Linked DNA regions of Oryzias latipes. The protein of the gene in region 3 interacts with the protein of the main gene of each other region in a pairwise test. Links are inferred from orthologs where the notes say so. Each region holds a gene or a part of one and is shown on either strand. Other genes may lie near its edges.

Region 1 (4,129 bases), on a different chromosome or scaffold from region 3:
CTCTTCTTCAATTCCATGGGGGGGAAAGAAAATACAAAAGGTGGGTTCCTTATAAAAAAAAGAAAACAAAATCAGTAAAAATAAAGGCAACAACATGATTTTCTTTTTTTTTTAACTTCATCTCCCCTTTTTTCACATTTACTTTCCTGTTGCTATGAACACTTAAAGTATCAGTTAAAAAAAGAAAAATTCAAACACTTCGCTTTGAAGTTCAACACTTTTATTGTTTTTCCTCAAATATTAAAGTGAATAATCTCACTTTTTTCCGTAAAAGTTTTTATATAAATAACATTTAAACAAATCACAATATGTTTGTATTTACAACGTCACAGGAAATGTTCAGTCCAACAATAAATAAGAGTCAATTGAAAGTCTAAGTACATCTAATTCAGATTAACAACTAGGCAAAGCAACGAGGGTGCACCATGTCAAGTTTTGTAATTTAAAAAGAAACACACGTGTATGAATTCTTACACAATAGAAATAGTTAGGAAACACTGCGGAAACTTTATACAAATGTGCACTCCCAGTCAAAAGGGAAAACAGATATATGCATAAGTATAAGGTGCCTAAATTGCACTGTGCAAAAGAGGTATCTACAGTATATAGACACCCATCCACTGAAAATAAGCTGCCAAGACAATATGTCTTGTGTCACATATTAATGCTGAGCTACAAATAACAAAAAAAAATAATCTTTTACACAGCAATGAGTTCAAGTCACAAGGTTTGAAGCCAAAAAAAAATGAAGAATGACGACGAGTGAGAAGAAAACTTTTCTAACTATGTATATGAGCAAAAAGTGAGTCCATCATATCCGGCACACAGGAAGCTCGGGCTACATCTATCGCCGTCTGACCGCTCTGGTTGGCGTGCTTCAAGTTGGAACGCGGAGCCAGGAACTGCACGACATCGCGGTGGCCTTCCCAGATGGCAATGTGGATGGGCAGGGCGCCGTTCTGGTCAGGGATGTTCACCGAAGCTCCATTCTCCACCAGGACCTGCAGGGTGTCCAGGAACCCTGTCCTCGCTGCATCGTGGACAGGCGCTATGCCGTGTTTGTCCTGGACGTTGGCGTCTGCTCCTTTCTCCAGCAACAAGCTTGCTATTTTGGAGTTCCCCATCATCATAACCTGTTCAAAAATAAATATTGTATGCATATTTATTAGCCCTCATGCACAAATCAGCAACTTCCTTTACAGAACGCCTTCACTTTTGCTTGAAAAGAAAAATCCATCCATAATAAGAGATAGAAATAAATAAAAATATAACTGTCATAAAAAACAAATACACTAAATAAAATACAGCTTTTACTTTGAGATCTGCACTAAACCTGAAAAAGAACATTTTCATTTTTTCTGCTTACAGTTTGTTAAAGCATTTATTTTTTTATGTGTGCTATAAAAATGCAGTATCATCACGTCAAGTAGCCTGACTTAACATGTTTTACAATCTTCTAATTAAATAAAATAAAAAGTGGGAGAAAAAAAATATTTCTGTCACGTTTTTTTTAACTTATTCTTTTTCATAAAAAACACAAATGGAAAATTACCGAATAATAGAAGTGTACATTAAAAAAAAGTATATAAACAGACTCGACCATGAAGGAAATAGGGAAAAAGTTGCACCAACTAGTATCTCCACCACTGGCACTGATGCTCCAGAGACATCAGCAATAATAGTAATATATTTTATTTTCTGACCTTTATTTAATCAGGATATTCCCATTAAGATTCCAAGGGAGTACTGGGCTGCTTACAAATACATTAAAACATCTAAACAATACATTTAAATTCTAAAAATACGGAGTCATAACACAGTGAAGGATTGAAATAATAAAACAATAATTCTTGTTTGATGATTTAGTATTAATAGTATTTATATTTAATAGTATACTAGTTTACCATAGTATACCAATAAATAGTATATATTAAATAAAATACAGTACTTAGTAATAAATATTAATGGACAATTTCTAACCTTTTTCCCACCCAAATACCACTATTTTACTTTGAAATCTCTGCATGTTGGGTTAATTAAATATTGGAATAGTAATTGTTGTGTGGTTACTGTGTTTACAGTTTTTATTCGTAATTAAAGCAGCTCAAATGTAAAAAAAAAAAAAAATACCCCCGTTGCCTAAATCAGATTTCCGGTACAGTCAAGTCTGCAAATTACAGAAAGTGTCGTCGAACATTTTACTGTGAAAAGTATCAAAAACAGGAACAGCGCAACTTCCTGGAAGCGGCTATTCATTACTGAACTAATTTGGCAACATGCGCGACTTATTTATTGCGCAGAGTCAATTCCTTGTATATTACGATGGTTTAAAAAAATATTTAGCTCACTTTTTGATGTGAAGATTTTATAAGAAACAAGTGTTGAGAGTTTTATGTTTATAGCGGGCTGTAAATACAGTGGAGGAGCAAACCAACCGCCTACAGATGACTAATGTCTTACTACCGTGACAGGTCTCACCTGCAGCGCCGTCCTGCCGAACTCATTCCGGGTATCAGGATGCACCCTGCATTCCTCCAGGATCCGCTGCACTTCGCTGGTATTCCCTTTGGCTGCCGCCGCCGTCAACGCTTTGCCAGCGTCCATCTGACTGAGGACCATTATAAACTCCGTTCTTGCCTGTTCAACAGCACACGCGCCCCGTACACCATGAAAATCAACCACAGTTGGGCCATTAAAACACATAAATGCACGAGGAAGACTGAAAAAGCCAGGAAGATTGCTGTCGGCTACACCTAGCTAACAACAACATCCGGCTAACGTAACTTGTAGTTTTTACGGTGACGCCATGTTACGTGACTGTAAGCGTACTGTTTTTGACTTGGTTGTTTGGGCTAATCAAACGGCAGAAAATATCCAAATCCATATTTTTTTTATTGAGAAAATTGGCCGACACTTAAGTCACATCGACAGAGAGTTATGAAAATTAACAGAAAAGCTAAAAGCTAACCGTAAAAACCGAGCTCTTTAATCCTACCTTCGTCAATACGTTAGTATCCGAATCCTCGATACGAATTTTCAGCCCGCCGACACCGCAGTCCGGTTATTTTTTAAATACAATTCAAAATGGAAGAGTTTATAAACATTGACAAATACATTTGCGCGCTGAGATCCAAACAGTAGTGGATCTAGCCGACAATTTACAAACATTGGAGAGTAGATATGCTGGCCAATCACAGGTGGCCCAATAGGCGTTGTACTTCCATAAATGGTAAGAGAGGCGTGGTTACAACTCTGTTACTACGTTATCACTGTGGTAACAGTGGGGATTGACCAATCAGAGCGCGAAGCGAAGAAAGCGGGCGATTCGTATTCGTTTGTTTCTTCAAAGACAGTCCATTCACATTTCCACGCTTTGGTTGTATTTCTTCACAACAGTGTGGAAAAAAAGGCGGGTTCATGTCTTTCGTTTTAGGCGGAATTTGCCGGCACTGATTGCACGGTGGTGAACCACACCACGGCTGCTAAATTCAGCATATAAAGTCCTCAAGGAACAACTCACAAAGAAACAGGTGCACAAAAAACAAGTTGTTTTCAGAGGAATAATCTTATTTCAACAATTTTAAAAAGATCTGAAAAGGTGACAATAAAATCAAATTGCATGGAGATTTAATATAAAACAGTTAAAACACACAAAAAAGAAGTAAATTAAAGAAATTCTTCAGGTGCAGATAAAAGGTAAAATTCATTGTGCTCTTCTGGAAGTCCTGGAGATATGCAGTAAAGCATCTTGCAGGCTTTACTTAGGCATTTGTTCTCAACTGGTAATCTAAAACAACAACAAATGCACACAATTTAAAACACAGATAGTGTCTACTTCATACTTGAATTTTAATCAAATATACGTAATTATTATAGTATACCTCCACTTTGTGTTATATAGCGCACCCAGGGTAAAGCCTGGTAGCCACTTTTTTCAATGATTTTCATATACCGAACCTGAAAAAAAATGCATAAAGTTAAATGACACATTATTATCGCATATAGATTAGAAGGCAAAGACAAAACAAGTCAATGGACATAAAAAAAACTATTTAAAAGTCTTAATGACAATACAGTAATTGGCAACTGATATAATAAACACTTTGAAGCATTCATACCTGAATTCCTG
Region 2 (3,951 bases), on a different chromosome or scaffold from region 3:
TTTTTTTTCTGAAATTGGTCACTGAGACTTTTATATAGTAGTTTGTGTTCATCCATTTCAATTTATTATTGATGTTCATTACAGTTGGGTTTTATTCTCAGTGGAATAATAATTCATGGGGGGTACATTTGTTTTTCCCATGATTCTGAAAAAAGAAATGTTCCATTTAAACCAGTATTTCTGTGAAAACAGGTGTCCGTAACAAAACCGTGCCCTTAGAGTGGAAATTTGACATATAAATAAAATCAGAAATTAAATTGAGGTGTTATCTTTTGAAATTAAAAAGAATTAGGTTTAGTTGTTTGGGTAAGGAGTTGCCAAAGTTTCTTTATGTAAACCCCTTTGGTTCATTTTAGTTTTGCGGTTTGGTCTGTGTTTCACTTGAGAGATCAGAAGAGAGCAGACAGGGGTACAAAGACATGCAGCTGGAGGCAAATCAAAGAGCGCATAAGAACCTGTATGACAGGTTTGATACAAAGAAAGCAGAAGCTGGTTTTTGACAAGTTCCATAAGCATGATGGAAGGAGAAGTTTGAAGACCGGATGAATATGGAAAATATTTGGAGGGCACAGAGATGAGTTGGCTGTTGTGGAACAGATAGTAGCAAAGATTAGAAAGGATGAAGTGAGGAAGAGGATCAAGAGTGGAAAGGCAGATGGTCTTGCCAACATGCCTATGGAGTGCTTAGGAGAGGTGGCAGAAGAGTTTCTGACTGGGTTTTTTACCAAAGTCTAAACCAGTGAGAGGATGTTGAAGTGTTCTGGGGCCCATTTTTAAGAAGGAGGGAGGGAGACGTTCAGAATTGAGGAAACGATAGTGGACGAAAGCTGATGATTCACATAGTGAAGTTATGGGAAAGAGTAGTGAAAGCTATGCTGAGGTCAGAAGTAAGCATTTGTGAGCAACAGTAAGGTTAATGCCAACTAACAGAACCACAGCTGCAATGTTTGCTTTGAAAATGTTTTTAAGAAGAACAGAGAAGGTCAGAAGGAGGTGCATTGTCTCTTTGTAGATTTAGAGAAAGTCTATGACAAGATACAGAGAAAAGAGGTGGAGTTTGTACTAAGAAGTCTGGAGTGACATAGATAGGTGGGAGTTGTTCAGGGCAGAGAGCTGTATGATAGTAGTGAGATGTCCTTTTTGGTGTGACAGAAGAGTTGATGGTGGAGGTGGGACTACACGAATGATCAGCTTTGTGCCTCTTCTTGTTTTTGTTGTGGTGATGGACAGACTGACAAATGAGGTTAGACAGGAATCTCTGTGGACCATGTTTGCAGATGACATTGTGGTCTGCAGGGAGCAGGTGGAGGAACATCTAGAGAGGTGGAAGCTTTCTCTGGAAATGAGAGGAAAGAAGGCCAGCTGTAGCTAGACAGAGTATCTGTGTTTAAATGAGAGGAACTCAAGTGGAACAAGGAGCTTACAGGGAGCAGAGGTGAAGAAGGTGGAGGACTTTAAGTACTAGGGATCAACAGAGCTTTGTGGAAAAAGGTGAGAACAGATGAAGGAAGGTTTCAGACTTCATGTTTTTCATGTTTTTACAAGCAGAAGGTTTTGCTGTCAGCAAGAATGAAAGGAAAGGTGCAGAAGGTTTTGGTGAGAGCAAGTTGAGTGTTTAGACGGTGGCTCTGAGAAAGAGACAGGAGGCAGAGCTGGAGGCCACAGAGTTGAAGATGTTGAGGTTGTCTTTGAAAGTGATGGTTACATCAGGGCAAGTCTATCACAGTGGGCATTAAATTAAACAGAACTGGGGGTCAGCTTCTTATGGAGTCTCTGCTGCTTGATAATGATGGACACTGCTTTGAATGAATTAAGTTAATTGGAATTATTTTATTCACAAGCAGTGGATGGAAAACTTAACTTTACATCATATGACTTTACACAACTGAATATAAATTGTGTGTAATGCTACGTTAACACTGGGCATTTGACGCATGTTCATAAACGTGCTAAACATGCTTTCTTGAACACACGTTTAGCACATGGTATTTATACTGGTGAAGCAGGGAGGGGACTCTTATTTTTTTTTTATTCCTTTTTCTACTGTTAACTAACGCATGTCCACCACCTACAGTTGAAAGAGACTTGGTGGGAAATGTCAAAGCTGTGCAAATCGCACGAATCTTGCTCTAAACTATATTTTTTTCACAATTCTATTCTAATATATGAAAGACTTGTCATATAGTTCCGGCCAGGCATTTAGCACAATTATTAAATTCTCCTCCATGATCAATTAACAGACAGTTGGTACTTCTGTTGATTAAAAAAGAACGCCATCCAAACATCACTACGGAATCCGATTCTCTGATTGGTCAAAGTTCAACCTGGTTTAACTTGCAACGCATTTTCAGTGGCCATGCTTTTCGTATGTAGAGCCTAAAAACGATCGTAGGAACTTGCGTAGCGAAGCACGAATGCGAGAGTTTTTAACCCTTGTGCTATCTTAGATGACCCCATCCTTACATTGACGTGTTCTTCCTACCATGACAAAGGTGGATAAAGGTGGAAAGATTTCATGTAATCCATGGACACCAGTGAAGATCACAAATCATTGAAGAAAAAAGATTCAGAGCACTGTCTAGTGGGTCTAGATGACCCAACTCCCAACGTTAAAGTGCCTAGGATAGCACAAGGGTTAATGCAGAAGCCTGAAACACACATACGCACATTTACCTAGATTTTGCATTGAAAGTGATCACTTGAACGTTGCGTCACCAAGAGCAATGTGAAGGTGGCTAAATAGGAAAAGCAAAAAAAAGCTGCCCAATAGTAACATGTGTGCTTCTTTCAGGGGTCTCTTCATCATTGACAACAAAGGCATCCTGAGACAGATCACCATGAACGATCTTCCAGTAGGAAGATCTGTAGATGAAACCTTGAGGCTGGTTCAGGCCTTCCAGTATACTGACAAACACGGAGAAGGTACAACTAACACCATTTTTTTACACAATTTCTATAGTTGAAAATGAATACTTATAAATATATTTTTTTAATAAATTAATACTTTTTTTCCACAGTGTGTCCAGCAGGATGGAAACCAGGCAGTGACACAGTAAGTACAACTGTGCTCATGAATAATTCTATTACTGGAAAGGAAGAATGAAATGGCTTCATTTTTGAGAATGAGTCTGTCTTGGTTTGGCCAAATGATGAGCTGTTATTCAGATCAAAAAGCAAGAACAACTTTCATGTATTTAACCTGCACATGATTGTATCAAACATTGAGATAAAAATCAAATCTGGTTGGTTTTATCAAATGGTCATTGTTGTTTGCAGTCCTGTTTTTAATAAAATAATGTTTGTAATTAAATATTTTTCCCTCCACAGATCATTCCTGACCCTTCAGGCAAGCTGAAGTACTTTGATAAATTAGACTGAACTTTTAATTCCTCACTCTTTGAAATCCATCCAAATAAAGTTTGTTTTCTTAAAGTTCTGAATTTTTGGTCTAAAAAGCATGGTTAGTAAGTTATTGCATCATGATTTTTGTTTGTTTGTTCTTTGGCAAATTCAAGCTTCTTTACTCATCCATTGGTCAACCTCAAAATAAGACATCAGGTAATACCATCATACGTCAGTGGGGCCTAGCAATAAGGATCCTAACAAACATTTATGACTTACACTCTACAAAAACAGTGTATGGGTGCAGACGGATCATTAGGGTGAGCACTCTCTCCACACCGTTTTGATTTATGCCCCGAAGACCAAGAAGGATCAACAGTATTCCAGAGTCTCAAAACACCATTTGACCATTGGATTATGCTGACCTTTTTTATAAGAGTTGGTGGTTTGGAATTCATTGGATAGTCTACCATTCCAAAAGAAAACAAATCCACTGGTAGCCTTAGCTTTCACTCTTGCTCTTTATGCCCATACATACTGTACCTCTACTCATTCACATTATGACCTACTAAGGGAAAAACTTTTCTACAGGGGAGATTTTTTCATCAT
Region 3 (4,231 bases):
ACTATTCATTCACTTTGTGATTCAGAAGTGCTCTCCTTAACGCTGCAGAATCCCTTAGGATTATTATTATTCTGTTAAAACTCTTAAAGTTTTACAGGTATTGTGCAGTGTGAGCACCAAGTCCATTGTCTTTGGCATCCAGATAAACTACTCATGTTTTTTTCACAGTTGGTCTCTTTGCATCTGGAACTCAAAACGGCAGAGTTTCCATAAAGATCTTCTCCACGATTGGTGGGGGAGGAACCAGATCTTCTAGTTTGAGGTAAAAGATGCGCTGGAAACCTTGCGTGCACAGAGTCCTGAGCTCGGGCAACTTGCCGAGAAGTCTAGACAGATAATTGGGCCGTAAGGACTCTGAACCACAGCTAGTCACATGGTCTTTCAGGCAGGTGATGAGCTGGTTCTGTAAATCCTCCACCCGTTTGGGCTCCTTCAGGCCATGTCGATCTGTTGAAAAAAGCAAGACACTGTCAAATCTCATTTTACAAAATAAACACAAATAAAAGTACTTTCCACCTCTGAGTTTATCTCATTTGTGTGCACACTGTTGTATACTGTTTTTGTACAAACACAAAGGTCACTTAGCTAACCTCTCAAAGTGCTGTTACCTTACAAGCCTTGAGTCAAAAATAAAACCTTCACTCTGTTTCTGTTTAGGTCTCCTATGCCATCTTTACTGTGCTGTACGTGAAGTTATGCTGCTCTTTGTCATGCACCTGTCACATCGGTCTCTCATGGTTATGCTGTTTAGTGTCCCTGACAAAGAAACACGTGCACACTTTTTTGACTATAGCTAGTGTTAGTGCAGAGAAGCCTGAGACCAACAAACATCTCACCTGTGATGAGGATCAGGGCTGCAAGGCAGGAGAAGGAGGAGACATCCAACTTCATGCGATGAAGGCTTTGAGAAAACTCCAGGATGGAGTCGATCCATTCCCCAAAGCCCCGGACACACTGTGTTTTATGCAGGACAGCTCCGTTGCAGAAGATGAGCTTCTCCATTTTAGGATTGGACCTTTATAAATGGTAAAAAAGTATGTGTTGTTGTTTTTTTTTCAAACATTAAGAGATAAACAGAACAGAAACCAGAGGAGAATGGCACACACCGATAGGCAAGACGCAGGATAAAGAGTTCAACGAATGCAGATTCCACCAGCAGTTCCTGATCCTCCAAGCAGAAGTCAGAGAAACCTGGGATGTCCTTCGCCCACTTTCTGATAACCTCTAAAGAAGCCGTGAGGAGGTCGTAAAACTGCTTTATGTCACTCACGTCTTCCTTCTGGTTCGCGCTGACTTCCTTCTCGAGGTACTAAGAGAACATAAAACAAATGGGAGTTTAGCTTTATTCAAAGTATACAAAAACAGAACTACAAAAAAAGAGGAACCCTGCTTTGGCTTACCTTAGAGTAATCCAGATTTCCAACAGCAGGGTTTGAGTCAATGTGGGCCCTGACCAGCGACGCAATCATGCTCACTGGGGATACAATGGGAGTGGCATCTTTGACACCTTTAGGCTTCGATGGTAAGCGACCCCTCCGTCCTTTCAGGCTATCCGTTCTAACAACTGTAGAAAAAGGTGACATCAAGTGTTAGTCTCAAATTATTCATCTTCCCTGAATCTCTCTTCTCTATATTTGCTATGAAAGCAGACTCTTGTTTAAGGAAAAGAACAGTCCAATTGAACATTTTAAAGCTTGATGTAGAATCTATCATGTTTCATTTATGCTTGATATTAATGTTGCCATTAGCTTTAGAGTTGTTATTTTCAATAATATGATAGTACAATGAGGTATTGTACTTTGCATACCTTCTCTGACCATTCCCACTGCCAGACACTTCTGGAAGCGACAGAACTGGCATCGATTTCTCCTCCTCTTGTCCACAGGGCAGTCTTTGTTGGCAAGGCAGACATACTTGGAATTTTTCTGAACTGTGCGCTGTGAAAAAGAAAACAGTAGAGGAATTAGTTATTTTACCTTTTAAATTGCTATGTTTCTATGAAGCGACTAAGCCACTATGGACTGGTTTGTCTTTTCTTACCTTGAAAAAACCCTTGCATCCCTCACAGGTGCGGACCCCATAGTGCTGACAGGAGGCATTGTCTCCACAAACAGCGCAGCCGCCCTCACTTCCACTTTTCAGCTTGGGCGATAGACTTCCATCCCGCTGTTCAGCACTGTCGAGACAAAGGGCCTGTTCCATCCCCATAGCGGGAAACTGCATCGCAGATGGGTGAGGTTGAGATGCGGCAAAGGGTTCCTGCTCTCGGAAAAGTGCCTGACCCAAATGAGACATGTCCTCCACAGAACCTGAGCCAAACATGAAAAAAGATGGAGTATGTGGCCCTGAGGTGTCCTCAGTCATCCAGTATCCTTGACCAGGGGAATATGGCCCAAAAGCTGAATCCCAGTTAGACACATTCTGACTCTGGAACCCAGGAGTCGAAGGAGAAGAGGCGGACGCGGGGCTGCCAAAGTAATCCGAGCCACTGGGAGACACAGCCTCATCTGGGTAACTCAGAGTGAACGCTCCAGGGTAGCAGCCATAAACTTGGAGCTCGTCCAGCTTGAAGGGGCTTTCCTGGCCTGACGCTGAAGGTACATGGGCAGGGGTTGTAGTGAACTGGCATGAGTACGCATCAAAAGATCCCGTAGGTGTGCCCACCAAGGAGCCGATGCTTGGCAGGGACGGAGTAGAGTGGTGCTCCAGGGAGCCACTCATGTCAACGGCCAGCCTGGAGAGAAAGTCTGCATTCTGAAGCTCAGAGCTGCTGAAACTGCTCTCAGTGGGCTGACGTCCATGTCGGGGGTGTACGCAAGTCATGACTGTGAGACTGAGAGAGAAATGAACATGTTAGCTTGGATTTTAGGTCTTCAATGAGCTTTCAAGAACAAGCTTCCACTCCAGAGTGAAATGTTATACATAATGTATACACACAGCTCAGTGGAGCAGCTTATTGTCAATCCTTAAGATCCTGATTCAATTCCTGTGTCTACCAATGGAGCATCAGTATTTGGCTTTTCAAACTTCAATTTATACAAATGTTTTACTGATATATCAAATAAAAAAACCAAGAGTACCATAATTACTGCTGCTGTCATCTTTGTATTGAAAGTATTGTTTATCACAACCCTTTGACACAGTATCTCTGTAATTTAAGTGAATATTTTTAACTTGAATTTTCATGTTTCTTCCCTGTCAACCTCCATTTATAAGAAAATCCTAGAAAGTCGTGCTTGTTTGTTGGAGCAGTCATCAAATCCCACTTTATCATTTCTCATTTCCTAGTAATTATAGTAACGCCTGAAAAGTGCAGCGGGGTTGACTTTCACTCTGGAGTACACTGCCAAAACACGCATGTGCAAAATTAAACCAGCAGACTACTAACTTCAGAAGACTTCATCGACTTTTTAAACACGTGAAGCGATTTCAAAAAACATTAAACCGCATATGTGCGTGCAGCTGTAAAAGTCAGATGATTTGTTTTCCGTTCAAAAATAAAAATAAAGCAGTTCAAATAAACACTATAGGATTGATTTACTAAGATGCTTCTTACCTGTCTAGTCCGTTAAAGTATTTTTGTGAATTTTCTCCACTTTACGAGCGACCGTCTCTCATGATCAGCGTCTCCCAGCTGACAGGTTCTCCGTCCGGCTCCTCTGGTCCTCCCCGCCTCTCTTATACTTTTGCTCTAGCGTAGCACTGTCCATGACGTCATTTTCCATGCGTGTCAAATGAGTGGGCGGGAGATTTCCATGGTGCAGCCAATCACAGCACCTTTCGAGAGAACAGCGCTTTTGTGACGCACTACGGGATTCCGTTGACGCTCGTACGCCCAGAACCGCAGCTTTGTCCGACTTGACAGACACGTGCGCACGGGCGCGCGCTACTGATATCTAGGTAAAACAGAGTAGATCTGAATAAAAGTGGGAGGTTCTATTTAGCAAGTGTTTATTAACATTGAGCAAATGGAAATACAGGGATCTAACCCCTTTAATAACAATAACTCAGTTACTTAAAAAAACGCCTAAGTTTGGGTCAATTCAATTGCAAGTAAAAGCAAGAATAGAAAGCCCTGTACAAAACATTTAAGAAATTGTTCCCTCACATTAACAATTACCATATTATGCACACAATGTAGCATTCTGTAACCACAATGTAGCATTTTGTAACCACAATTTGACATTATATGGGCACAAGAACATTTTATTAGCGTTTTGTAGCCACACAA

Evidence for each region.
Region 1: the proteins of nr4a1 (region 3) and cdkn2d interact in binary tests that used the Homo sapiens proteins (3 or more experiments, as listed by UniProt). The two-hybrid records come from large-scale screens. The link is inferred for Oryzias latipes from reciprocal best matches to the Homo sapiens genes NR4A1 and CDKN2D.
Region 2: the proteins of nr4a1 (region 3) and peroxiredoxin-4 interact in a two-hybrid assay, tested with the Homo sapiens proteins (2 studies listed by BioGRID and IntAct). The link is inferred for Oryzias latipes from reciprocal best matches to the Homo sapiens genes NR4A1 and PRDX4.

Annotation. Positions count from the first base shown.
Region 1 is NC_019859.2:10,441,389-10,445,517, forward strand, and holds cdkn2d (cyclin-dependent kinase 4 inhibitor D), read right to left. Parts: upstream 2,824-4,129; 5' UTR 2,704-2,823; coding exon 2,479-2,703; intron 1,134-2,478; coding exon 780-1,133; 3' UTR 204-779; downstream 1-203. Other genes in the region: ap1m2 (AP-1 complex subunit mu-2), read right to left, coding at 3,762-3,787, 3,882-3,957, 4,119-4,129. UniProt on the Homo sapiens protein: Interacts strongly with CDK4 and CDK6 and inhibits them.
Region 2 is NC_019872.2:14,033,043-14,036,993, forward strand, and holds the end of peroxiredoxin-4, read left to right. Parts: intron 1-2,791; coding exon 2,792-2,922; intron 2,923-3,017; coding exon 3,018-3,052; intron 3,053-3,327; coding exon 3,328-3,378; 3' UTR 3,379-3,440; downstream 3,441-3,951. UniProt on the Homo sapiens protein: Thiol-specific peroxidase that catalyzes the reduction of hydrogen peroxide and organic hydroperoxides to water and alcohols, respectively.
Region 3 is NC_019865.2:22,178,962-22,183,192, forward strand, and holds the start of nr4a1 (nuclear receptor subfamily 4 group A member 1), read right to left. Parts: upstream 2,824-4,231; coding exon 2,041-2,823; intron 1,938-2,040; coding exon 1,808-1,937; intron 1,565-1,807; coding exon 1,401-1,564; intron 1,310-1,400; coding exon 1,107-1,309; intron 1,016-1,106; coding exon 837-1,015; intron 448-836; coding exon 191-447; 3' UTR 1-190. UniProt on the Homo sapiens protein: Orphan nuclear receptor. Binds the NGFI-B response element (NBRE) 5'-AAAGGTCA-3'. Binds 9-cis-retinoic acid outside of its ligand-binding (NR LBD) domain.